3 linked regions of the Mus musculus genome follow. The protein of the gene in region 3 purifies or fractionates together with the protein of the main gene of each other region. This does not show direct contact. Links are inferred from orthologs where the notes say so. Each region holds a gene or a part of one and is shown on either strand. Other genes may lie near its edges.

Region 1 (8,063 bases), on a different chromosome or scaffold from region 3:
CTGATTTCTTGGATCTTGGGATTCCAGACACATTATTTTAACAAAATTCATAAAAACTTTTTACATAGAAATGCTCACATGTGAAGGAAGGGTTTTGTGATGGGTTACTTGTCTGTTATCTCAGGACCTAACCATCAGCCTGGAAACACCAAGTGTGTATTTATATGAACTACTTTGAAAAATAGATTTAACTAGATATGTTATAACACAAACTTTTAAAGTATATTCAAAATCTGAGGTTTGAGGTTAGCAATTAACTAGCCCATGTTATCAGTAAAAGCTAAATGATCCACATGACAAAAGGTTACCTGGAATTCTGTTATTCATTGGCTTGATTCTGGACTTTCCATAATTATTTTATTTTACTTTACTAGTGATTTATACCCATCTCATTAGGACTAATCAAACCTGACTTATTTTAGGATTTGGCAGGTTTGAAGCATTATAGTTGAGTGTACTATGTGCTGGCCAGATTAAGGAAAGTGTCCGTGTAGAGAAACATTTTATGAGAAAAGGTAAATTCCATCTGAGGCAGGGGATTCACAGGACTGTGAGAGAGACAGGGAGCGGGAGTGGAGCAGCAGCAGGAGCAGGAGTGAGAGCCGGAGCTGAGCGACCTCCCCTTTGATGTAGGGCAGCTGGGATTCCAGGCTTGCAAACACTTTGAGATGTTGAGCAGTTTCAGATGAGGTCTGATCACAGGCACATTCCAGTGTCAGAAAGCAGAGTCCAGAGGTTGCTGGCTGTAAGACTAGAAAGACAGGTTAAGGCTGCTGGGGAGAATGCTGTAGGAGCTTGTGGGTAGTGGCAGGAAGGTGAGGTGGCGTAGGGCTGTTTCGATGGTGCTGGTGAGCCATTATGTGGCTAACTTAGAGCTATAGTAGAAGAAAAGAGGAGAGCTATTCAAAGTTATAGCAGAGACAAAACATTCAGCTTTCAGAAGGTGTTGGCTGAGTAGGGCAGAGGTAAAGAAAATGTACAATGTGCTGGGGCTTCAGAATATGGCATGAGTAGGCTGATAACAGTGAAGCAAGACAAGATAGATGCCACAGTGCCAGGCTTTTGGAGGGGCTCATTCTGTGATCCAAGCACAGGGTCAGCACTGAGACCAAGTGCCTGCTTAGAAGTGGAGTGGCAGATTTACAGCACTGTGCTCGACCTCTGGTTACTTTGAAAGATCAACAGAAGCTTATAGGATATATATGAAGAATGGGCTATGCCTAATTAGGGCTAGACTGAATTTAAATGTTTGGCAGGCTTAAGAAAAGGCATGTAGCAAAGTAATTAATATATTGTGTGGTGCACTGAAAAAGGGAGGAAGTGGGAGAGAGAGGAGGGAATGGAGATAGAGGAGATAGAGAGAAAGGAAAAGATGAGACAGGAAGAGGGAGGGGGAAGAGTTGTGAGTGTGCACACAACTACACAAGGGGGCAGTTAACTCTCTAGGAAGGGGTTCTGGCTTGTACCTGGCACCGTGTTCTTAGCACCAAAGTCATAGCAGTTGTTAATTTGGTATTTAATTATATAGCAAGTGCTTACATCATACTAAGTATTAAACATTAACATAACCTTCACAACCCCTAGGTACCATCATTGTCCTCATATCACTATGAAAACAAGGGACAGGGGAAGTGATTTATAATTTATAATTCGGAAGCACCTGTGTATGTCACGGCTGGTATACAGATTCAGGCAGGCTGAGATCTGCTGCCTGAGTTGATATGTGCAAATGATCCATGGCCCAGGAAGGTCCTAAATGAAATAACCTAACCAATATAATTCCTGCCAAGAGTCCCTGACCCTAGAGGATTTGGCATAGAACACCATCATAAGTCGGGAATATACAGAGTACGTGCTACTGGAAGCAGAAGAAGAGAAGCACAGGGTGGCATGACAAGGGCAGAATCTGAATGCTGCTTTGCTGTGGCAAGTGTGGGAGATAAGAGGTGACACAGTGATGCTCCCCATGGTCATCGTCAGAGATTATGTGTGGACAGACGCAGGACGGTTGCAGGTTGGAAAGTTAGCAGCTGCAGGAACTGCCGTAATTTATAGCCAAAGGAGAAAATATATGAGAAGAATCAAGGAAAGAACAATGAGCTACCAAGGCAAGTGACACAGTTGTCCTGGTGAGCAGAAACAAAGACGCAGGGAACAGAAGCTACCTCAGAAACAACTTGTAGGCTTTCAAGGCCCGGGACAAGTATGGTGGCCAGGCAATCCTGGTGCAGATCAGGGTTTTATCCCTTCCTCTGTAACCCAGGGAGTCACCTCATCTCCACTACTTTCCTTCCTATTCTCCTCTCCATCTTTCCCTTCCTAGCCTCTTCTGCCTCCCTTCCCTCCCCTCTTCTCCCTTCTCTTCAACCTCCATCTTTTCCATATACCAAACAACATTTTAATTGCCTTCTTCATATCTTTCCTTGGACTTATTATGTACTTAAACCAATCTATCACTTTATTTTCCTCCATGAGCCGGATCTCTCTAAGCTTCTCTTTCCTGTCACTAAACAGGCTTAATGTATGTAGTAGTTTTGAAGCATTTGCCATTACCGTCCACAGTTGATCATGGGACTAGTACATGATCTAGGCTATTAATACATGAATAGTTCATCTTGAATGTGTGTGTCATAATGCTGTTTCATAAAGGTGTATGAAAAGTTTTAAAGTCCTTTTAAACTCCCTCTAGAAAAAAGAACAGAAACCATTCACACCAGCTTCACCTGTGCAGTCCACACCGAGCAAGCCATCTGACAAGGTATGGAGCCAAAAGGCACTTCATCATCAAACATTTATCTCCTGTTGCCTGTCTCAGCCTGATTTCTCGTTGTTTTAAAGGAAAAATGTAATGACTTAAAATTTAAAAAGTTATGACTGAGTTGACAGTGTGGCCATCACTCTGTATTCGTACCATTTTATGGTACGAGCCTCTATTTTGAAAATTCTAGTTTTATTATACCAAGTTCAGTTATAGCTTCTCTTCTGGAAATATGTGTTTGTTAGCAACGTGCAAGGTTTCTTGAGGCTTGGCAAGTCTCTTGGTTTTAGAGTGGGGACATCAAGGGTTGTCTAAGTATTCTGTATTACCTCTCTATTGGTAAAGAATATAAGGTACTTTAAAAAAAAATCTATCCCCTCTTCCACAAGAAACCACAATAATAATAAGAAGGGGAAGAGTAGCCAAAGCAAATGTGCCCTAGTTTCTGTTACACCTATCAGTAATCCGCTAAATCCTAAAACTATTGTAGGATTGTGGTAATTCTTTTTTTTTTATTATTACATATTTTCCTCAATTACATTTCCAATGCTATCCCAAAAGTCCCCCATACCCTCCCCAACCCACTTCCCTACCCACCCATTCCCATTTTTTTTGGCCCTGGCGTTCCCCTGTACTGGGGCATATACAGTGTGGTAATTCTTAAAGGAAACCGTCAGACATATTCAGTGACACTTTGACGTGTGGAGTAAGTGCCGTACAGGTCATAAGTCAGGAACATACAGAGTCTGTGCTATTGGAAACAGCAGAAAAGATGCCCAAGGTGAGAAGACAGTGGCTGTTTTCCATGTTAGGAGCCTGTTCCGAGTGAGCTATCCAAAACTACAGAATAAGGTGACAGCAACTTCTCATTAATATGTTAAGTATATGTTGGCAAACTAAACTGGCAATTCATATGTCTTTAGGGTTGACCTCACATAATATCTCTTCAGGGTTGTCTTTGAGCAAGTCAATGAACAACAACAATGTTCATTAAAGAATGGAAAAATACAAGAATTAAAAAAAAAAACAATAGCTTCTTTTTGAAGGAAGTACTGTCTACAGATTTTGCTAGAATGAAACTATGGGTGATACTAAAAAGCAACAAGTGCCACATGGCTAATCCTTGCATTTTTTTTGTCTTTTTCCTCTTGACTGTCAGTACAGTGGTTTGGTTGCTTTTGTGAACTACTACATTTGTTGCTGTAGTTAATAATGTGGAATTTTTTTAAATGGTGATCTTTACCTGAATGTGGCTTTTTATTTTTCCAATTGAGAATTTCTTCATATTAAAAATGAAATACAGTTTAACTATTTTTGAACTTGGAAAAGTTACAGTATTTGATACATTTTAGTAGTTACAAATCACGGGAAATATATCTACAAAATAACATATCTTATCTCTTCTATTTCTAGTCAGGCATGGATGCTGCCTTGGATGACCTGATAGACACCTTAGGTGGACATGAAGATACTAACAGAGATGATCCACCATATACTGGACCAGTAGTTTTGGTATGTGTTGGATGACAGTCAGCATTCATTGTTAATGGGGAGGAAAGCAAATAAACCTATGGTATCAAGCATAGGACTGCATGTCATGTTCTGTTGATTATGTAGACGCAGGATGATGTCAGAATTGATATTAGAAACAAAAACTCGGGGGTGAGGGTGGAAATGGTCTGCTTTGTGACACTACACAGTTGCTATGATTCAGAATATGTCTGACAATGCTAAACTGGAACAGCTGACTCGGTCAGAACATCTAGTTTTCTGTCCTTTAGATTTGACGCAGTGGACTTGAACTTATTTTGAGTTTTAGATCCTTATGATCCTAAGTTAATCTATTCTTCATTTCCAAGGAACAATGTAATTTTTTTTCTGGTGTTAAAGATGTTGTAGCATAGATGAAAACATTTTCAACAGTTGCCATTAAAGTTGTTTCTATAGTTTACAATAAATAGAAAAACAGAGACAAAGACAACTCAGTAGAAAATTAAGAGAAAGTTGCTTGCACAATGAGCAAATAGTGTAAGGGTCTACCAGGGAATTAGGAAAATAGCATAAAGCATGGCGTGGTGCCTTTGGCTCAACCAGACTGCCAAAACTTTAAGAATCTGACAGGTCAATTTAGGCATTAGGTTCTAAAGAGGTGTTCCGTTCAGTCACAAACCCCACCAGCGAGACTTTGGAAATCTTGCCCCTGTGTACAGCGAAGGATATGGCAGAACACTTGAGACCAATGTGATCAATAGAAAATAGGAATGTGATCAATAGAAAATAGGGAGCTTTCAGTGCTTTCTGAAAGGAAAATGGCTTACTTATGTATCTACATGGATCTATTACAAAGCCATGATTTTGAATAAAATAAACAAGAGCAACAAAATGATACTATTTATATAGCTTTTGAAAACATGCAAAGTTATAATATATTTTGCTTATACATTTCTACATTTGCAATATTTTTAAATATTAAAATATTCTCAGCCGGGTGGTGGTGGTGCACGCCTTTAATCTCAGCACTTGGGAGGCAGAGGCAGGAGGATTTCTGAGTTCGAGGCCAGCCTGGTCTACAAAGTGAGTTCCAGGACAGCCAGGACTACACAGAGAAACCCTGTCTTGAAAACAACAACAACAAAAAAAATATATATATATACACACATATATATATAGTCTCCTCTTCAGCTTGAATTCAGTGATAAAATTACATGTACCACAGTATTAAAAATAAACCACAGGATAAATGAAAATATTTTTTAAAGTTACAAAGCATTTACTTCTACAGTTTATGAAAAATAAAAAAATACTGAGAAAAGGTAATTCAATAGAAAATGATAGAGATGATAGACTTAAAGTGCAGATGCTATCTCTAAAGCTAATTAAATAATTGTTAGTATGCAAGTAGAACTTTAAGGATAGATTTTAGCTTCTAAATGATTTATTTTCATCTCAATAGATACAGAAAAATCAATACTGGAATAGTACTTTGGCTTCACTTAATAGTCTCATTAGATTAACTGTATAATATGTCTTTATGTATGATTTTCTTCCAGGACCCAATGTATTCTACCTACCTTGAGGCACTGGGTATAAAAGAAGGGACTATTCCTCCAGAGTATAGGAAACTTTTGGAAGTAAGTTATCTTTCATTTTTATTTTACCATTTCCTTCTTGGAAGACAATTCTGTAACAATATCAAAGTTTAGAATATGCAGTGGGGCACATACAGTTGTTATTATTGAGAAGTACCCTCTGTGTGTTATCCTTTAGAACTTCTCTGACAATGTACTACAGACTTGATAGTTTAACTAAGAGAAAGGTATTGTCTGGTTTTTATGGAAATCATAATTATGGTGTGGAAACAGCTGGCTCCTTTCAAGTGCTCAGAGGGGTAGCTCTCTAGCCTGTTGACAAGGCTGGTAGATGGGTATCTTCTCCCTGGATCCTTTCACATCTCCTTTCCTCTAGGTTTTCCTCTGGTACGAAATGTGTTCTCTTCATAAGGATATTAGTTCCATATAAGGATTCCCACTAATGACCTTGCTTTAATGAATTCCTTACATAGAGGCCCTATATTCATATAAATTACCATTCTAGGGTTCTTCATGACTTCAGCATGTGAGTGCGAGAATACACAATTTAGCTCATGAATGACTGAGAATACATTTTGTCAAATCAGAAGAATTAATCTTTCCTTCTTAATTTCTTCCATTTTTGTTTCAGAAAAATGAAGGGATCACACAACCTCTTCCAGACTCTCCTGTGAGTTTGTATACATGTCTTTTAAGATCTGTATCAACACTGTTCTTTGTTTGGGGACATAGAACTACCAGTACCAAACTGGGTTTGGTGGAACAGTCCTGTAATCCAGTTATGTAGAAAGCTGAGTTTAAGGCCAGTCTGGATAATTTATACCCTTTCTCAAATTAAAAAGTAAACCGGGGATATATCTCAGATATCTGGGTGGCAAACTACTTACTTGCCTAGTGTGCATGAGGCTCTGGATTCAATCTCTAATCTCTAAAACGCAAATGAAAAGAATCCTATGAAAGCATAGTAGAAGGCATGGGCCTATTTCTCTGTCCTTGGCCATATATAATATGGAGGTGGAGATAATAGGATAGAAGGATATAGTAAATACTAATAATTATTATTAGTATGAGCACATATAACCACATGTAACTCCTTTGGAAGAAGGAAAAGGAGGAAAAGAACCCACCCTTTCCAAACAGGACTTATCTCAGTAGCATTTCTCATTTGGTATCTAAGGAATGAAGAGAGTGGTTTTTTGCTGGACTCTCAGGTGTTACCCTGTGCTCTTTTCTCTAGAAACCTATGGGGACTGACCAGGCTATAGATGCCTTGTCATCTGATTTCACCTGTAGTTCTCCAACTGGAAAGCAAAGTGAGAAAGAGGTATTGATTTCAGTCCTATTCAGAAAAACTTTGCAAGAAAGCATCTTAACTGTAAAAAGAAAACTTTAGTTCTGTTTGTCATATTGTATTTTCTTTTTTAGAAGTCTACTGGGGAAATTTTCAAAGCTCAGTCTGCAGGAGTGACCAGAAGTTCTGTTCCCCCCAAGGAGAAGAAAAGGAAGGTGGAAGAGGTACTTAAATAGCCAGGGCCCATATGACAGCAGCAGGTATTTTCTTGGGTTTACTTATGTCTGAGTGCTTCTAAAGCAGGCCTCTACTCTAGTCATACGAGACTGTTGTAAGCCAGGGCCTATGCCATGTGACTCAGTGGCAACCCTACCCTAGATTGATCTGTCTCTGTATCTCTCTCTTCTCCCTCCCTCACTTCCCTCCCTCTCCCCCTCTGTTTCTCTCTCCCTCTCCATCTCTCTCTCTCTCCTTGTCTTTCTTGTCCTTTCTCTATTTCCCAGTAGGTCTAGGTCTGTCTGTATCTTTGTCTCATGTCTCAACATGGACACAGCTTTTTGCTTACCCCGGGAAAAATAAACCTCTTGGCCTAGATCTGTTGCATGGAGTGCTTTCTCGGTGGCATACCCTTAGTATGCACCCCCCACTCACCCCTACCCCTGCCACAGATTTATACTAACAGAGACCACCATCTCATCTTCCGAGATACCAGAGACACTATTCACAGGCCATGACATCTTAGACTTGAAGCTTCCTGAAGGGAGCGTTGTGAGTCACTCAGGAATGTCAGCACAACAGTTTCTGTCTGCCTCTCGTAATGCTCAGTCTTCAAATTTGACCCTGCAGCTCCAGGCTGGATGTGGGTGTATGTGCCCTGTGAATGGTGCTGATAATGCTAAGGACCACTTCTATCAGGGCTGCCTCT
Region 2 (8,546 bases), on a different chromosome or scaffold from region 3:
TCAATCCTAATAAAAGCTCTCACCTCAGAGTCAAAAGTTCAAGGTCACTCTCAGCTACAAATCAAGTCTCAAATCAACCCGAACTACATGAAAACGTGTCTCAAGAAACCAGGCAAGGGGCTGGTGAGATGGCTCAGCAGGTAAGAGCACCCGACTGCTCTTATGAAAGTCCTGAGTTCAAAATCCCAGCAACCACATGGTGGCTCACAGCCATCCGTAACAAGATCTGACTCCCTCTTCTGGTGTGTCTGAAGACAGCTACAGTGTACTTACATATAATAAATAAATAAATCTTTAAAAAAAAAAAAAGAAAAAGAAACCAGGCAAGATGGAGCTGGAGAGATGGCTCAGAGGTTAAGAGCACCTACTGCTCTTGCAGAGGATCCTGGGGTTCAATTCCCAGTATCCACATGGCCATACAAGAATCTCAGCCAGGGGCTGGTGAGATGGCTCAGTGGGTAAGAGCACCCGACTGCTCTTCCAAAGGTCCAGAGTTCAAATCCCAGCAACCACATGGTGGCTCACAACCATCCGTAAAGAGATCTGATGCCCTCTTCTGGTGTGTCTGAAGACAGCTACAGTGTACTCACATGTAATAAATAAATCTTTAAAAAAAAAAAAAAAAAAAAAAAAAAAAGAATCTCAGCCATACAAGTCTCAGCTGTCCCTGCCTAGTGAGCCCAGCATTGCTGACATTAAGGTTAGACCTAGAGGAGCCCTTGGCCAATGAAGGTTAGCAAATCCCCACCCTCGCAGAGATCTAGAGTGACACTCACGGAACATGGCATCTAGCCTGACCAAGCAGCTGATGAAGTTATCGAAATCCATGTTCCCGCTCTCATCTGCGTAGCGCCGGATGATCATGCTGTAGAGATGCTCATTCAGGTGGAATCCTGGGAAAACAAAACAAAACAAAACAAACAAAAAACGGTTTGGTCTCAGGGCCCCAGCACACAGGCCTTCTCTTTTTTTGTTTTTTTGAGACAGGGTTTCTCTCTGTAGCCCTGGCTGTCCTGGCACTCACTTTGTAGACCAGGCTGGCCTCGAACTCAGAAATCCGCCTGCCTCTGCCTCCCAAGTGCTGAGACTAAAGGCGTGCGCCACCATGCCCGGCTTCACACAGGACTTCTCAATCTCCAGTACAGTGACGGTGTGACTTTGCTCACCCCATCCCCTGCCCATCATCACCCCCTGCCAGCACACCTGCTGCCTCAAAGGCCCCTGGAAGTTCATGGCTACCGATAGTCCCTGATCGGTCAGTATCAAAGCGTTTGTATATAGCCTAAGGATAGAAAAGACAACAGTCGGACCAAGCATCATGGAGCATGGGGTCCCCATGGCTTGGGGGATCAGATCCTGGGAGTTTCAGCGGCTACCACTTACCTGCCACTTTTTAATGTTGTTCCAGAGGTATTTGAACTCCTCAAAGCCCAGCTTGCCTGTGGTGTCGCTCTAACAAGAGGTTGTTAAGAACCAAGTGACAAAATGCAATGTGTGTGTGTGTGAATGCCAAAATGCTAACTTTTCTTTCTTCCATTCTCCCTTTTCTTTTCTTTTCTTTTCTTTTCTTTTCTTTTCTTTTTTCTTTTGGTCTTTTCACGACAAAGTTTCTCTATGCAGCTCTGGCTTTCCTGGAACTTGCTCTATAGACCAGGCTGGTCTCCAACTCAGAGATTCACCTGCCTCTGCCTCCTAAGTACTGGGATTAACCCTAATTCGTACTTTAAAAAATAAAATAAGGGCTGGAGAGATGGCTCAGGGGTTAAGAGCCCCCTCTCTTCCAGAGGTCCCAAGTTCAATTCCCAGCAACCACATGGTGGCTCATAACCATCTATAATGAGATCTGGTGGCCTCTACTGACCTACAGGCATACATGCAGGCAGAACACTGTATACATCATAAATAATACATCTTTAAAAAAAATAAAATAAGCTTAGAAGGCTAGATAGTCAGGAGTGCTTAATCTTCTTGCAAAGGACTTGGGTTTGGTTCCTACAATTCAAAACATGCAGCCCACAACCACCTGGAATTCCATCTCCAGGGGGTCCAACGTCCTCGGGCCTCTGAGAACACGTGCACGCACATGCAGACACACACACATGCACGTGAGTAAAAGTAAAATAAGCCAAGCGGGCATGGTAGCACATGCTTATAACTCTAGCACTTGAGAGGAAGATCAGGAGTTTGGCTTTGGCTACACACTGACTTCAAGGCCAGCCTAGGCTTCTTGAGACCCATCTCAAGAATCCAAAAATACTGTACAATAAAATAACTAGTAATCGGATGGTGGTGGCACACTCCTTTAATCCCAACTTGGGAGGCAGAGGTGCGCAGATCTCTGAGTTCGAGGCCAGCCAGGTCTATAGAGTAAATTCCAGGCCAGGCAAGGCAGAGAAATCCTGTTTCAAAAATCAATCAATCAATTGATCAATCAGTCAGTCAATCAATATTGCTTAAAAGTAAATAGAGAAATAAACGAAGCTTAGATTCTCAAACCAAAACTCCCAAGTCCAAATTCCTATCCTGCAATGTATTCTCTAAACGACTGTTTCTGCTATCCAAGCCTCAAGTAGCCCCAAGACTAGCTTTCAAGATCAGATATTCATGTCAGGTAAATTCTGGGCGGTTTGGCCAGAGACAAAACCACTGTGTCTCTCTGAGCCTGTTTCCTTTCCTATTACATCGTCTTTATCTAGCAAGGTATCTGTAAAGGTTGGATCCACTAATCTAGGTAAAGTTCCAGCTGTAGCAGCTGATATTATTTATGGTCACGTAGGTAAGTCTGTGTCCTCCAAGTATGAAGGCTTTCACCTTGGCCGTCCTCAACATATTCCCAGAAGACCCTCTTCACCCAAGGCATTCTCCAGGCTGGCCCCAAAAGGATACATCCATGACGGCCACCATGCTCCGACAAGTGTCAATGCCAAAACCATCAGTTTTCAGATCCGGGTCTGAGGGGGGAACAGGTTGAAGGTCAGAGGTCAGAGACCATCCCAGCCCATATGCCTCTAAACCTTCACCACACTCTGACCCTGGTCACTCACGTCGGGTCACGACCTTGTTGAGGATATTCATGAGTTCTGTGGCGCTGACCTCCATGTCCTGACGGCAGAAGGTAAGTACAGTTCAAGGGAGATGGAAAGGGTCTGGAGACCATAAACCGGGATGGGAACTTCCGGGTTGTCACAGTCAAGTGACAGAGTCAAGCGGTCAGGCAGGATACTTACGTCTCCAGCCAGCTGGACAAAAAGTTTCCTGAACTGACGGACTTCTTCACTCTCGTTGGCCTCAATATTGGAGTAATGACTACGTGGAGGCTGCAGAGAGAGGCGATCTCAGAACAGAGATGGAGAAACAAGTGTCCCAGGGAAAAGTCAGAGAGGGCTGGGCAGTCTGAGGGCCAGGGAACCTGAATTAGGTGTAGCAAGTAGGCGTGGCTGAGACCCAGGGTTTAGCTTAGGGGCCCTCAAAAAAATGACATTATTAACGGCAGGGGGTTTCCTAAGGAAGGAGGGGGAGCCTTATTCATAGGAATGGGGAAGATGAGGCGGGCAACAGGCCTGAGGAGGAAGGGTCTCTAGGTCTGCTTACCGGAGGCTCCGGGTTGTACTGCGCAGCAGCCTCGCTGAGGGGAGACAAGGGGGCTGAGTTAGCGCATGGGGGCAGAGCCTCCAACGGGCGGCAGAACGGTCAGCCAACCCCTGAAACTCCAGCCCTCCTCTTCCTTAAGGGGTTCCCTCCTCCCCTCGTCTACCTCATCGTCCTGACCTGGTCCAATCAAGAGAATGGTCTGACCCCTCCTTTCCCTCCATCGGGCCAACCTCTCCCACCTCCCAAGGGCCCACCCCACGGAAGAATCCTTTCCTTGCCCAGGAACACCCACCAATCACAATGTCAGAAGCATCTTAGCCCCAATCAAAATCCTGAAAACCTTAACAAACTTAGCAGGGCCCGCCCCTTGAAGAACTCACTTCACAAGGGGGTCTGTCTGCACCAGCTTTCCTAGGCCTCATCTTCCTCGGGTTCAGTTGTCCAGAGTCTTACTCCATCGCTCCTTTTGCAGATTATCTAACTGCCTAACGTCTACCTCTCCCGCCCCCCATCAGCCCCTACTCCTCCCAGGGATCAGTGCTTGGATCACCAACGATATAGGTGCCAGCCACCTGTTCTAACCCCAGCAAAGGATTTTTACCCACTAAACCAATCAGCTCCAGACCCCACACAACCTTCTCTGGACCATTTCTTCTTTGGGGACTCTGATCTCTCCTAAAACAGCAAGCTCCACCTCGCTCAAATCTTAAGCCATGGACAGCCTTAGATCCACTGGCTGCGCCCCCAGTGAAGGCTGGATACAATCCTATAGAATTGCACCTTCCCCAAACACAGAAGAGCCCCTATCCCCAAGAAACTGCATCCTATTTGTTGACCCACAGAAGCAGGTTTACTAATCCTGGTACTAAAAAGTGACACCAGCCTCGCTAGAATCCCCTTAGGGCCAGTTTTCCGGTATGGATCAGCCCAGACTAATTAAGAATTCTCAGGTCGGACTCTAAGTGAGTCTTTATTATTTGGCCCGCCCCGCCCCTTCAGGCCCCGCCTTACCTGATGGCGCTAATGACTCCGCCCAGGATGCGCATGGCAGTTCCACCGCCTCCGCCACCTCCTCCCAGTCCCATGCCTCCACCGCCACCGCCGCCGCCGCCAGCAGCTCCGCTGATCAGGCCTCCGAGCACATTCCCCAGGCCCCCGCCCAGACCCCCGCCTCCCCCACCGCCACCGCCGCCCTTCAAGAACGAATTCACCAAGAACATGATCGCAGCTGAGTCCTGTAAAGTAAAAGGGGTGGGTCGGGTAGTGGCCTTGCCAGGAGCCCAGCCCTTCCCGCAAAAAAAAAAAAAAAAAAAAAAAAAAAAGCAAGCATTTCCGGCAACTAGATTGGGGAGGAAACTAAGGCCTCGAGATGGGGACAGAGCCTCTAGCTAGGGGTCTGGACAGGTGATAGGAGATGTGAAACCTCCTAGGGTCTAGAAAGTACCCTGGCCCAGGCTTGACTGCATATATATAGGCATGAGGACAGGGGTACAGCTGGGCGTGCGTGGTAGCGCTCTACTGTAATCCCAGAAATTGGGAGGCTGAGGCTGGAGGACCAGTTCAAGGCCAGCCTCGGCTACAGCGCCTGCCTGCTTTACCCTGTCTTGAGGCAGCGGGAAAACAGGGGATTCTCGTGTAGAAACCCTAAGGTGTGTAAAACCGAACGTGTCTCAGATCCAGGCCTTCCAAAATTAAGCTCAGGGTAGGGATGACCCAGGGCTGACCAGGAAGTTCCTAATGTGGATTAAGACATTCAGATACTCTCGACAGAGGGACTACACTGTCACTACGGGATCTGTGGGCTCCGGCCAAAAATTATGGCTGTGCGCCCGGAGGATCCTGGATAACGGAGTTCTTCCCACCGCAAATGGGAACCACGATCTCGGATTGTGGTTCTAGACGCCCAAAATAATTTCCGGGTATCTCTCTGATCTTTGGGCTTATATTTTTTGGTCGTCAGATCCGGGATGGTAAGGAGTGTTCTGGAGGGGCTGACAGGCCCGATGGTTCGAATCTGAGAACACCGGTCCTAGGACCCCCCAAGGGCCAAGACTTTAGGGTCTCGCCAGATCTGAGGACTACGGATTCCGGATCTACAGGGTGCAGGGGTGCTGGACTGGAGTGTCCCGTCTCACTTACGGATCCGGCGGTCCGCGGTCTTGCTCGCCTGCTGCAGGGCCTCCGCTGTGTCCGGTTCGGGAGGGCGGGGCCGGTGACTCAGGCAGCTACTCCGGGTTAGACCCTGCCGCCACCCAGCCGTCGTCTGCGCGGTCCTAGAGCCTCCATTGCAGACTGCGCCTGCGCGGGAGGGTTATGGTTGCAAGTCTCTGCTTAGCTCATCCGTCCCCATACACACACTGCTGGAAATTCAACGCTGTCCAGATTAAATAGCTTTGAGTACGAATAAATTATTCTAACGCCCAGGTACTGGAGCCTCCAGGAACTAGATACAGGGTACCCGGTCACCGTTGCAGTATATAGTTGCAAAAAAGGACTTCAGTTGTCATTCATTCATTCATTCATTGTGCACTTTGAGACAGAGGTTTGTTAAACATCCTCTAAATGATGACCTAAAGCCCTAGCTAACCTCGAACTTGAAACAATCCTCCTGCTTCTGTTTCCCGAATGCTAGGAATCTACATCTTAAGTTTACCATCAGTTTGTGCCTCTCACCCAGGTCGCTGTTGGGCTTCTAGTCTGGCTGTCTGGCCACTCCCTAGGAACTATATAAACCTCGGTTTGAGTCTTTATTGCTCATCCCTAAAACAGTGACCTGGTGTCTCTGAGTAATGACCTCCTCATGTGTAAGGCGGGAACATAGCCAGGCGTGATGACACACACCTGTAAAACCAGCACTGGGAGGTGAGGGCAGGCAGCCATTCTCAGTACATAACAAGTTTGTGACCGGCTTGGGCTACATGAGACCCTAGAGGACACTAGGGTAAGCCCCTATCAGAATTAAGTGATAAATACATAGTAAATGGCAGCTCTTCTGTTAGTCCCTATGTCGCCATGTTGTTCCCTCAGCTGGGAGCTCACCTGGTTCCCTTAGCTCGTTTACTCTTGCTCATCCTTAAACAACATCGACAAATACCTGCCGGTCCCTAAATACTCTCCACTCACTAGGTTGTGTGTCCTCGAAGCAGGCCTGTGGGATAGGTCTGTTATTGTCCCCATTCTATGTATAAGTAAACTGAGGTTAAACAACCAGTCTGCTTTACCTGTTCAAAGAATCTCCGATAACTTAATATGATAATCAGTCAAATAAGATCTCAGCAGACAAGACCGTAATTGCACTAACGCCACCTAAGGGCTTGCTGGGACCAGGCCAGGTAATCATTGCTCAAACCTGTGTGTGTGTGTGTGTGTGTGTGTGTGTGTGTGTGTGTGTGTGTGTGTGTGAAGCAAGATTTAACCTGTCGAAACCGGAAACTCTAAAAGGCGGGAGCACAGAGGGTGGCGACCCAGGCCTAAGCCTTAGCGGATAAATCATTTGGTGATGACTAATGTGGATTCCCTCTCTGCCACACCCCTCCCTGCCACACTGAGCAGTCTGACCTCAGGCTCAACTCGCTGGCATAAGCCCTGTCCTCTGCCTACAAATACTCCTGTGTTTGGACTTGACTGTCTGTGTCCTCCACTTTGGACCAGAGCTCAGACATCTCTCATTTGGGAAGACCTCTTTGTCCTCACATCCACCCAAGGCTTGAAGAGGCTGCCAGCTTCATGCCCTCAGACCAACAGTAAACATGATGACACATGCCCAGGCCTCAGAAGACTCAGGCAGGCGAGCTACACCACAGGGTCTTATCTCAAAACAACGATTTAAAAATACTTAAGGGAGCCTATCGTGGTGGCACTTGTCTTTGATCCCAGCACTCAGGGGGCAGAGGCAGGGAGAACTCTGAGGCCAGCCTGGTCTACACAGTGAGTTCCAGAGGACAGACTGGGCTACATGGTGAGACCCTGTCTCAAACAAACAAAAGAAGGTTCATGGGAGTTTTGCTTGGGGATGGCTCAGGGGTCAAGAGTCTTGACTGTTCCTCCAGAGGACCCGGGTTCAGTGCTGAGCACCCACATCAAGCAGCTCCCAAGTGTCTCAAGTCCAGATCTAGGCTCCCTCTTCTGGCTCTGAAGGCGCTGGCACAAATGTACAAAGTCATGCATGCAAGCAAAACACACGTACAAACAAAAATAAAATAAAACCCATTTTTCACCATACACACTACCCAGTGTGGTCATATTGTCCTCTAATTCTGTCTCCCTGAGTCCCAGTTGCCGGCATCTGTGAGCTCTAGGTATCGTCCCTCTGTCCATTCAACTTGTGCCTGCCATCTGGTACCTCCCTGAAGTATTTTTCAGTGATTTTTGTCCCCTGTGTGTGTATATTTTGTGAGGTGGTATCATATAGCTCAGGCTAGCCTCAATCTCACTGTTTAACAGAGAATGGCTTTGAACTGATCTTCCTGCAACCACCCTAAAAGTTCTTGGGGTTACAGGAGTGTGTCTGATCCCACGTGTCTTACATATCATCTCCAGGCCACCAGCCCCCAAATCCCTATCTTCAACCTGGACAAGGCTCAGGACTCATGGCTTCTCTGTCTTGCTTTTGCTTCTTGTATGTCTGTGTCTGCCTTGTGTGTTCTGAGATTCAAACATGGATCCTCTGCTGGAGCAGCAAGTGCTCTAACCACTGTGCCTCCTCACCAGCTACTTGCTGCTGTTTACTTGTTTGCTTGTTTGCTTGCTTGCTTGCCTTTGAGACAAGCAAGGTCTTTCTGGGTGCCTGAGGCTGGCGTTGAACTCATGGCAATCCTGTTTAGCCACCTTGATGCTCTCATTACATTACAATCACACTTCACTGGTCCCAACTGTCTGCCTCCATAATGCCCCACTGTTCCACCCTGTCAGCAAGTCTAACTGGCTCCTCCTGCACTCTCAATGCTACCTCCCTC
Region 3 (8,063 bases):
TGGATAAAGGCGCTGGCCAGCAAGCCTCACAACCTCAGTTAGATCTCTAGGACCTACATGGTGAGAAACAGCCCTAAAAATTGTCCTCTGGCCTCCACACACACACACACTGTGGCATGTGCACACGTGCACGCCCACACATACCCCCATAAGATATATAAATGTAATACTTTTTAAAAATTTATTTATTGGGCTGGTGAGATGGCTCAGTGGGTAAGAGCACCCGACTGCTCTTCCGAAGGTCAGGAGTTCAAATCCCAGCAACCACATGGTGGCTCACAACCATCTGTAATGAGATCTGACTCCCTCTTCTGGAATGTCTGAGGACAGCTACAGTGTACTTTAAATAAATAAATAAATAAATCTTTAAAAAAATATATTTATTATATGTAAGTACACTGTAGCTGTCTTCAGACACTCCAGAAGAGGGCATCAGGGCATCAGATTTTGTTACAGATGGTTGTGGCTGCTAGGATTTGAACTCGGTACCTGGGGCTGGAGAGATGGCTCAGTGGTTAAGAGCACCAACTGCTCTTCCAAAGGTCCTTAGTTCAAATCCTAGCAACCACATGGTGGCTCACAACCATCTGTAATGAGATCTGATGTCCCCTTCTGGTGTGTCAGAAGACAGCTACAGTGTACTTATGTATAATAATAAATAAATCTTTGGGCCGGAGCGAGTGGGGTTGACCAGAGCGAGCAGAGGTCCTGAAATTCAATTCCCAACAATACATGAAGGCTCACAACCATCTGTACAGCTACAGTGTACTCACATACATAAAATAAATAAATAAATAAACAAATAAATAAATCTAAAAAAAAATCAAAACAAACCAAAAAATGATAACAAGAGAGAAACAGAGGGGGAGACAGAGAGACAGACAGACAGACAGACAGACAGAGAGCCAAATGAGAGAGTAATTAAAATGGGAGGTGTCAGCAGGTCGGTTAATTCCGTGGGCTGAGGCCTGGGCAGGGGCAGTGAGTGTGACAGGCCCAGAATTCTTTTCAGTGGGGCAGAGTAGAGCTGGAGTACAGAAAAAAGTTGAGGGGAGCTGGGGGTGGGGGCATAGAGAGGCCATTCCACAGTAGTGACAGTCACCATTTGTGAGAGGGGAAGGTAGGCGGACAGCGGGTCAGTGGGTAAGAAGGTGCTGGAATGAATGGGCAGGTGTTTGGATAAACAACAAGGCTTTCTTCCCCGGGCCCCAGACAGTCTAGCAAGCCCCTTTATTACCATCCATAAAGATAAGCAGCATTCAATCATGACTATTTGTCTCCCAAGGAACACAACAGGCTCAGCCAGGTGGCCCTGCTCACCCCCCTGCCCTGTCTCCCAACCACTCACCTGGGTAGTTCCTGCAGCCTCCAGCGGTGCTTCCCCGACGCCAGGTGCCCTCGTAAAATGTGGTATTCCAATTCCGGAGGGTCCTGCTCTTAAGGGCGTCCGGTGTAAGGTTGCAGATTTCCAGTTTGGTGAATTCACGGATGAAGTCTCGGAACGACATCCTGAGGGCCCAAGGGCAGAGGTGAACCACAGTCCTCCATCATGAACTGGGTTTTAGGGGAGCAAGGGGGGAAAATAGTGTTGCTTACCAGAACTCCCCATCCTCCATCTTGACCCTCAGCTGCTCTCGTTCATAGGGGTCCACTTTGTTCCACTCATAGGAGCTGTGGGAAGCAGGCACTGCTAGGGTTGGACACCACGGACCTATCTAACTTCTGTCCCTGGGTCCTGTCCAACCTGGCGTGTTTCAGAGCCCAGATCAGCAGGCTTTCTCTAGGGCCACCTCTTGAGGTCCTTAGAGATCCCCATTTAAAGGTCCCTCTTCTTTTTGGGGACAGGGTCTCACTAGCTGGATTTGAACTCATGGAGATACACCTGTCTACGCATCCTAAAAGCTTAGATTAAGCCGGGCGTGGTGGCGCACGCCTTTAATTCCAGCACTCGGGAGGCAGAGGCAGGCGGATTTCTGAGTTTGAGGCCAGCCTGGTCTACAAAGTGAGCTCCAGGACAGCCAGGGCTATACAGAGAAACCCTGTCTCGAAAAAACAAAAAAAAAAAAAAAAAGCTTAGATTAAAGGCCTAGCCAATTTTTACTTTTAAAATTGTGTGCGCGTATGGGCGTGCGCATGCTTGTGGAGGCCACGAGAGGGTGTTAGACCCCCTGCAGCTGTGGCCTCCTACGGTGGGCGCTGGGACCCAACTTCAGGCCTTTCCTGTAGGCTAGTACAAGCTCTTCACCGCTGGCCCACTTTTCTCCAGGCACCGCCACACTTCTTGTTTTTGCTTGCCTTTTTTTGGCATCAGGGCCCTGCTCTATAATAGCCCTGGCTGGCTTGGAACCCTGTACGTAGATCATGCTGATGGCAAACTCACAGAGATCTGCCGATCTCCGCTGAGATTAAAGGTATACGCCACCACGTTCCTACCTCCTTTAAGACTAGGTAGCCTTGGTTGAGCGGGACCTCACTGTGCAGCCCAGGCTGACCCCAAATTTGTATTGGTCCTCCTGCCTCAGCTTTCTGAACATTACAAGCAGAAACCACCACATCCAGCCAGGGTTATGTTTATCAAGGTCAAGTCAGACCTTGATGCCCTGGGTGTCTCCACAGGTTGCCCCAGTGCCCACAGCCTTGGTGGGCTCTGTCAGGGCAAACTCCCAAGATGTGACCCCTTTCCTCAACTCTGAGTGTACACCCAGCCTGCCGGGGCCCAGGCAGGAGTGTCCAGGACATCTCCAGGCTTCCCCCAACCTCCCTGTGACTTACCTGTCACTCCAGGGTCCTTTCCACTCCACTTCACCCCAGGGGTTCCGCATCCGGATTAGGTTCACCCGCTGGCCCTGGTAAGTTACCTGTTCCCAAAAGTGTGCATCAGTGTCATGACCTTGGACGTCCCTTCCCGGACCTCCGTCTTCACATCTTCACCCTGCTTCCTACCCAGCAACACCAGGGCAACACAGTCCATACCCCCTAAGCCAGTCCTCCAGCAATTCACAGCCCAGTGAGGCAGCTGTACAAATGAACTGGAGGCACTAGGCATAGCATTAACACATACCACCCGATGGTTATCCCAGGAGGTCAGAAAAGGAGACATCACTTCCCACAGCCCAGGTCAGATGCCGGGGAGGCTTGGAAGTAGGAACCACACTGCAGGGCAGGTCCCATCCCGGTAAATACCTGCTTGGCGCCCGTCACAGAGTACGCATGGCCCCTCACCAGGTTCTTAAAAGTAATAGCCTCTAAATCACGGATATCGGAGATCTACGGAAAGAAACGTGCACTGTGGTCAGAAGATGAGGTGCCATCCCTGCTTGGAGCATATATGAGGCTCAGGCCGTACCCCTTGTCCCCTTGCACACACAACCCCCACAAAAGCTGATCGAAGAAACTTTTAGACACTCCTCACCTAACCACTCCATTGTTACACAAATGCCGTTCCTTCTGGGGAGCAGGGCAGAGCCTAGATACCTCCCCAATCAATGCTCTCGCTATACTGCTGCTGGCAAGGGCTGGCCAGACTGTGAGTGTGCATATATACACACACTTATAATCAAGCAAACCCTCCAAGGGGGACTCAGCCAGGGGACAAACAGGGGAAAGAGAAGGACAGATCCAGTGGGGCTAAACTTGCGGGGTCAAATAGCCCTTTTAAAAAAAGTTTAGTTTAGGGGCTGGAGAGATGGCTACGTTAAGAACATTGGCTGCAGGCTGGTGAGATGGCTCAGTGGGTAAGAGCACCCGACTGCTCTTCCGAAGGTCCGGAGTTCAAATCCCAGCAACCACATGGTGGCTCACAACCATCCGTAATAAGATCTGACTCCCTCTTCTGGAGTGTCTGAAGACAGCTACAGTGTACTTACATATAATAAATAAATAAATCTTAAAAAAAAAAAAAAAAAAAGAACATTGGCTGTTCTTCCAGAGGACCTAGGTTCAATTCCCAGCACCCACATGGCAGCTCACAACTGTCTGTAACTCCAGTTTCAGAGGATTCAATACCCACACACAGACATGTGTGCAGGTGAAATGCCAATCAAATGCTCATAAAATAAAAATAAGGAAGTTATTTTAAAAGCTTCTTTTCTAGTTGGCTCTAACTCTCTCTGTATGCGACTCTAACTCTAACTCTCTCTGTATTGCTGTGTGCATGCGAGTACAGATACCCTTAGCAGCCAGAGGCATCAGATCCTCCTGGGGTGGGAATCCCAGGCACGTCCTGAGTTACCTGATGTGGGCGGGAGCTGAGAACCGAACTTGGGTTTTCTTTAAGAGCAGTACAAGCTCTTAACCACTAAGCCATCTCTCCAACCCTGAGACATTGTAGCAAGGCACTGCCATTCACAGAGTTCACACTTGGGGATGGCTCAGTCAATTCACAGATTTTAAGATCTCATGTTTTAAGTAAGATTCTGAGATTTTGTGTTGGGCTCCATAGCATTGTGTGGCCAAGGATAGCCAGGATGCTGGTGTGGAATGACCAAGCACGGGGCTAGGGAGGGCTAGAAGTGACTGTGGGAATTGTGGGCCAGACAACGGTAAGCAAGGAGAAAGGAAAGGAGAAGGAGCCAGGCGTGGGTGAAGTCAAGAATAGGAAAGAGATTGCATCAGAAGGCTGAAGCACTGGACTGGGAGAGCCTTGGAACACGGGAAGGTCATAAGAATGAAGGCCTGGCTAATCTACTCCATATTGTTCCAATTGTAGTATATGTGCTGCCTAAAGAAATGGCTCAATGTTAAGTGCACTGGCTGCTCTCCCAGAGGTCCCAGGTTCAATACCCAGCACCCACACGGCAGCACACAGCTGTCTGTAATTCCAGTTCCAGGGACTTGACACCTTCACACAGACATACATACAGGAAAAGCACCAATGCACAGTAAATAAAAACAAACAAACAGACAAACAGACAAGAATGAGAAGGGAGGGAGCAGGAGGGAGCTGAGGAGCTGGGGCACCGCTGAGATTTGAAGGAAGAAGTGAGGAACATGGAGTATTCGAGGAGGTGATGGGCGGGGCTCATCCCCAGCCGGAAATGAGCTGAGGAGGGGGCGAGTGGTGCGCTGAAGATGAGATTAGGGTTTGTCAGAGGAACTTAGACATCACTCACATTAATGGAGCAGCCCAGCAAGGAGCCTCGTTCCAGGGCCTTTAGAATGATCTGGTAGAGGTCGCTGGGGGCCTTCTGCAGGTCGTACCACTCAGTGACCCCACCGGTAAAGTCCTCGAAGGCCTCTGAGGTGCAGCCTCCCGAAAGAGCCTCATAGCTGCCATTCACTCTGTGGGCAGCTCCAGGTCGGTTAGTAGCATCATCAAGGAGGACCGGGTAAGAGGGCCAGGACAACCTCTCCACCCCCAGAGACCGAAGATGTGCCCTGGGGATCCTACTCACTTAGCATAGGCTTTCTCCAGCAGTGCGCTCCAGAATTCGTTGCCCTGGGCAGAGTGCACGAACACCAGCTTCCCGTCCTTGGTGGGCAGCAAGTCATCTATGACCACGTCGACCCACTCCCCGAACTGCCACAGCTGTGGGAGGGACAAAGTCAGCCCCTGCCCTGGGCCTGGTCCCCAAACTGCCACAGCTGTGGGAGGGACAAAGTCAGCCCTTGCCCTGGGCCTGGTCCCCAAACTGCCACAGCTGTGGGAAAGGGACAAAGTTAGCCCCTGCCCTGGGTCCCAGGCCTCCTCTCCAGCTTCAGCTGGACTTACTAAATGCACGAGTCTCGATCTGTATGCTGGGTACATGTGTAACACACACACACACACACACACACACACACACACACACGTATCGCGCACACACACATTCTTACAGGCATGCCTCTTGTCTTCTAGAGTGTACAGTCACTCAGCCCAGGGCACCACAACTATAGACACCTAAAGGTGTCTCAGCACTCAGGAGGTAATCTCTATGAGTTCAAAGAAAACCTGATCTACACAGGAAGTTCCAGGACAGCCAGTAAGACTATGTCTGAAAAACAAAACAATACCACAAAACCAGATCTGGACCGTGTCAGTGGTTCTGGGGGTGCCTGGGGGTCTAGCTGTTAGCCTCTAAGCCTCAGAACTAGAGTGCAGTCCTCGGATCCACAGGATGGAAGGGAAGAGCTGGCCCTACAAGTCATCCTCTGCCCTTTACACAGACACACTGTTAATCCCCATCAACACACGCACACGCGCACACACGTTATAAATAAATGGAATTAGAATTTTTAGATGAACAAGTCAGAACAAGGCTCGCCTTCAGATATGGGAGAGGGCAAGGGCAAGAAGGCCTCCAGTCCATGTTCCTCCTCAAAGCAACCCTAGGTCCTGCCCCTCTTACTTGCCTTCCTATTTTTTTTTAATTTATGTATATAAGTCTTTTTTGTTTGTTTGTTTGTTTGTTTGTTTGTTTTGGTTTTTGAGACAGGGTTTCTCTGTGTAGCCCTGGCTGTCCTGGAACTCACTCTGTAGACCAGGCCCACCTCGAACTCAGAAATCCGCCTGCCTCTGCCTCCCGAGTGCTGGGATTAAAGGCATGAGCCACCACGCCCGGCTATATATGAGTCTTTCTGTTAAGTCTGTACAACAGAAGAGAGCATCAGACCACATTATAGTTGGTTGTGAGGCACCACGAGGTTGCTGAAATTGAACTCAGGAACCCTGAAAGAGCTTCTAGTGCTCTTAGCACAGAGGGGCCAAATACCTTCCGGAGGGAGGGCTGTCCGCACAGGGCGTAGCCCCGGCCATCTCAGCTTCACAGCCCCTTGCTTCCTTATTTTAAGCCTGAGTATAGAAGTAAGTGGGAGATGTGGAAAGACAATGTTGTGCCCAGACCCTCAACCACAGATGGGCAGGCTGGTTCCAAATGCACCAGATTTGCTCCAGGGATGCAGGCCTAGGCTGCCTAGGGACAGAAGCTTCGGAAAACACCAAAAATTGTTGCAGGGAGAAGCCCAGAATGATGAGGTAAGAGGATCACTGAAGGATTTGGGAAGCGGCACTGACTGTGCCAAATAGAAGCTGGAAGAGGAGTAGATTGGAGATTTGAGGAAAGGGGGTAGGGAAAAGGGTGACAGAGCTGTCTTGGTTGGGGCACTCAGCATAGAATAATAGCTGCCATTTCTTCTGGCGTGGGCAGAGTGAGGTAGTGGGACCAAATTAGGCAGAAGGAAGGAACACAGAGACCCCCTTCAGGCATGACTGGGATCATCATGGTAGAAAAGGCCTCAACCAAGACTTTTGGGGTGTGACTCTCAACACTAGCTCCTGGAGAATTCACTAATGTAACTTGAAACGTGGGCCCTGTCAGAAACATCAGGGAATGGTGTTTAAACGCCATGTCTGTCTTTTCCTCTACACTCTGTCAGGTTTGCCAAGTCTGGGAAACTGGGAAAAGGGTGAACTGACAGGTGAAGATGGGGAAACTGAGGCTGGGGCAAAAAGCCAAAGCACTTCTTCCACACTTTCTCTGCTAAGCACAACCTTACCTAGGAGAGCTGCAAGCTGAAAATACCTGCTTGACCATTCACACATGACTGACCAGAGGTGGCACAGAGAGGCCAAATACCTTCCAGAGGGAGGGCTGCCCTCGAAGGGCATGGCCCCGGCCATCTCAGCTTCACAGTGCTGTGGGCCATCCTTTCCCATCTCCCTAAAGTCAGCTATTCCTCTGGCCCAGGGAGGGTGCAGGGACCTTCACCTGGAAATGAAAGATGCCAGCGTAGCCATCCTGAAAGCTCTGGCCGTAGGGAACCACTCGGTGCAGAATAGTCTCGTTGAGGGTGAGGGAGGCAATGGCAGCCAGGAGCCAACAGTCCCCTGGAATAGGAAAGACCCTCATCAGGCTTGCTTTCCGGATCTGCCCAGGGGAGGGAGGTGCTGTGTATGTGGGATGCCGGGGGCCACCAGGGATTCCCTGGGTGGGGTACCCTTCATCTCCCCTCCGCTTACAGAAAAGACCCAGGAATCTGGGCGAACCAGCACCTATGCTGATAGTCAAAACCTGTCTGGACCTGCAGGAGGGAGGAGTTGGGGCAGTGCCCAATGGAACGGGAACGGAGAACTACAATGGGGCAAA

What was found.
Region 1: the proteins of Capn1 (region 3) and Cast purify together in Homo sapiens (co-immunoprecipitation; 4 studies listed by BioGRID and IntAct, counting the BioPlex papers as one, with this or other methods). This does not show direct contact. The link is inferred for Mus musculus from reciprocal best matches to the Homo sapiens genes CAPN1 and CAST.
Region 2: the proteins of Capn1 (region 3) and Capns1 purify together in Homo sapiens (co-immunoprecipitation; 4 studies listed by BioGRID and IntAct, counting the BioPlex papers as one, with this or other methods). This does not show direct contact. The link is inferred for Mus musculus from reciprocal best matches to the Homo sapiens genes CAPN1 and CAPNS1.

The regions. Positions count from the first base shown.
Region 1 is NC_000079.6:74,736,044-74,744,106, reverse strand, and holds part of Cast (calpastatin), read left to right. Parts: intron 1-2,689; coding exon 2,690-2,758; intron 2,759-4,171; coding exon 4,172-4,270; intron 4,271-5,808; coding exon 5,809-5,889; intron 5,890-6,478; coding exon 6,479-6,517; intron 6,518-7,084; coding exon 7,085-7,171; intron 7,172-7,272; coding exon 7,273-7,362; intron 7,363-8,063.
Region 2 is NC_000073.6:30,189,276-30,197,821, forward strand, and holds the start of Capns1 (calpain small subunit 1), read right to left. Parts: upstream 5,879-8,546; 5' UTR 5,731-5,878; intron 4,827-5,730; 5' UTR 4,812-4,826; coding exon 4,603-4,811; intron 4,474-4,602; exon of another isoform or gene 3,972-4,473; intron 3,926-3,971; exon of another isoform or gene 3,813-3,925; coding exon of another isoform or gene 3,769-3,812; intron 3,626-3,768; coding exon 3,592-3,625; intron 3,318-3,591; coding exon 3,228-3,317; intron 3,103-3,227; coding exon 3,045-3,102; intron 2,952-3,044; coding exon 2,887-2,951; intron 1,453-2,886; coding exon 1,384-1,452; intron 1,283-1,383; coding exon 1,204-1,282; intron 894-1,203; coding exon 777-893; intron 1-776. UniProt on the Homo sapiens protein: Regulatory subunit of the calcium-regulated non-lysosomal thiol-protease which catalyzes limited proteolysis of substrates involved in cytoskeletal remodeling and signal transduction. Essential for embryonic development.
Region 3 is NC_000085.6:6,005,904-6,013,966, forward strand, and holds part of Capn1 (calpain-1 catalytic subunit), read right to left. Parts: intron 7,805-8,063; coding exon 7,686-7,804; intron 6,782-7,685; exon of another isoform or gene 6,717-6,781; intron 5,528-6,716; coding exon 5,394-5,527; intron 5,281-5,393; coding exon 5,112-5,280; intron 3,268-5,111; coding exon 3,184-3,267; intron 2,859-3,183; coding exon 2,773-2,858; intron 1,672-2,772; coding exon 1,597-1,671; intron 1,510-1,596; coding exon 1,349-1,509; intron 1-1,348. UniProt on the Homo sapiens protein: Calcium-regulated non-lysosomal thiol-protease which catalyzes limited proteolysis of substrates involved in cytoskeletal remodeling and signal transduction. Proteolytically cleaves CTBP1 at 'Asn-375', 'Gly-387' and 'His-409'.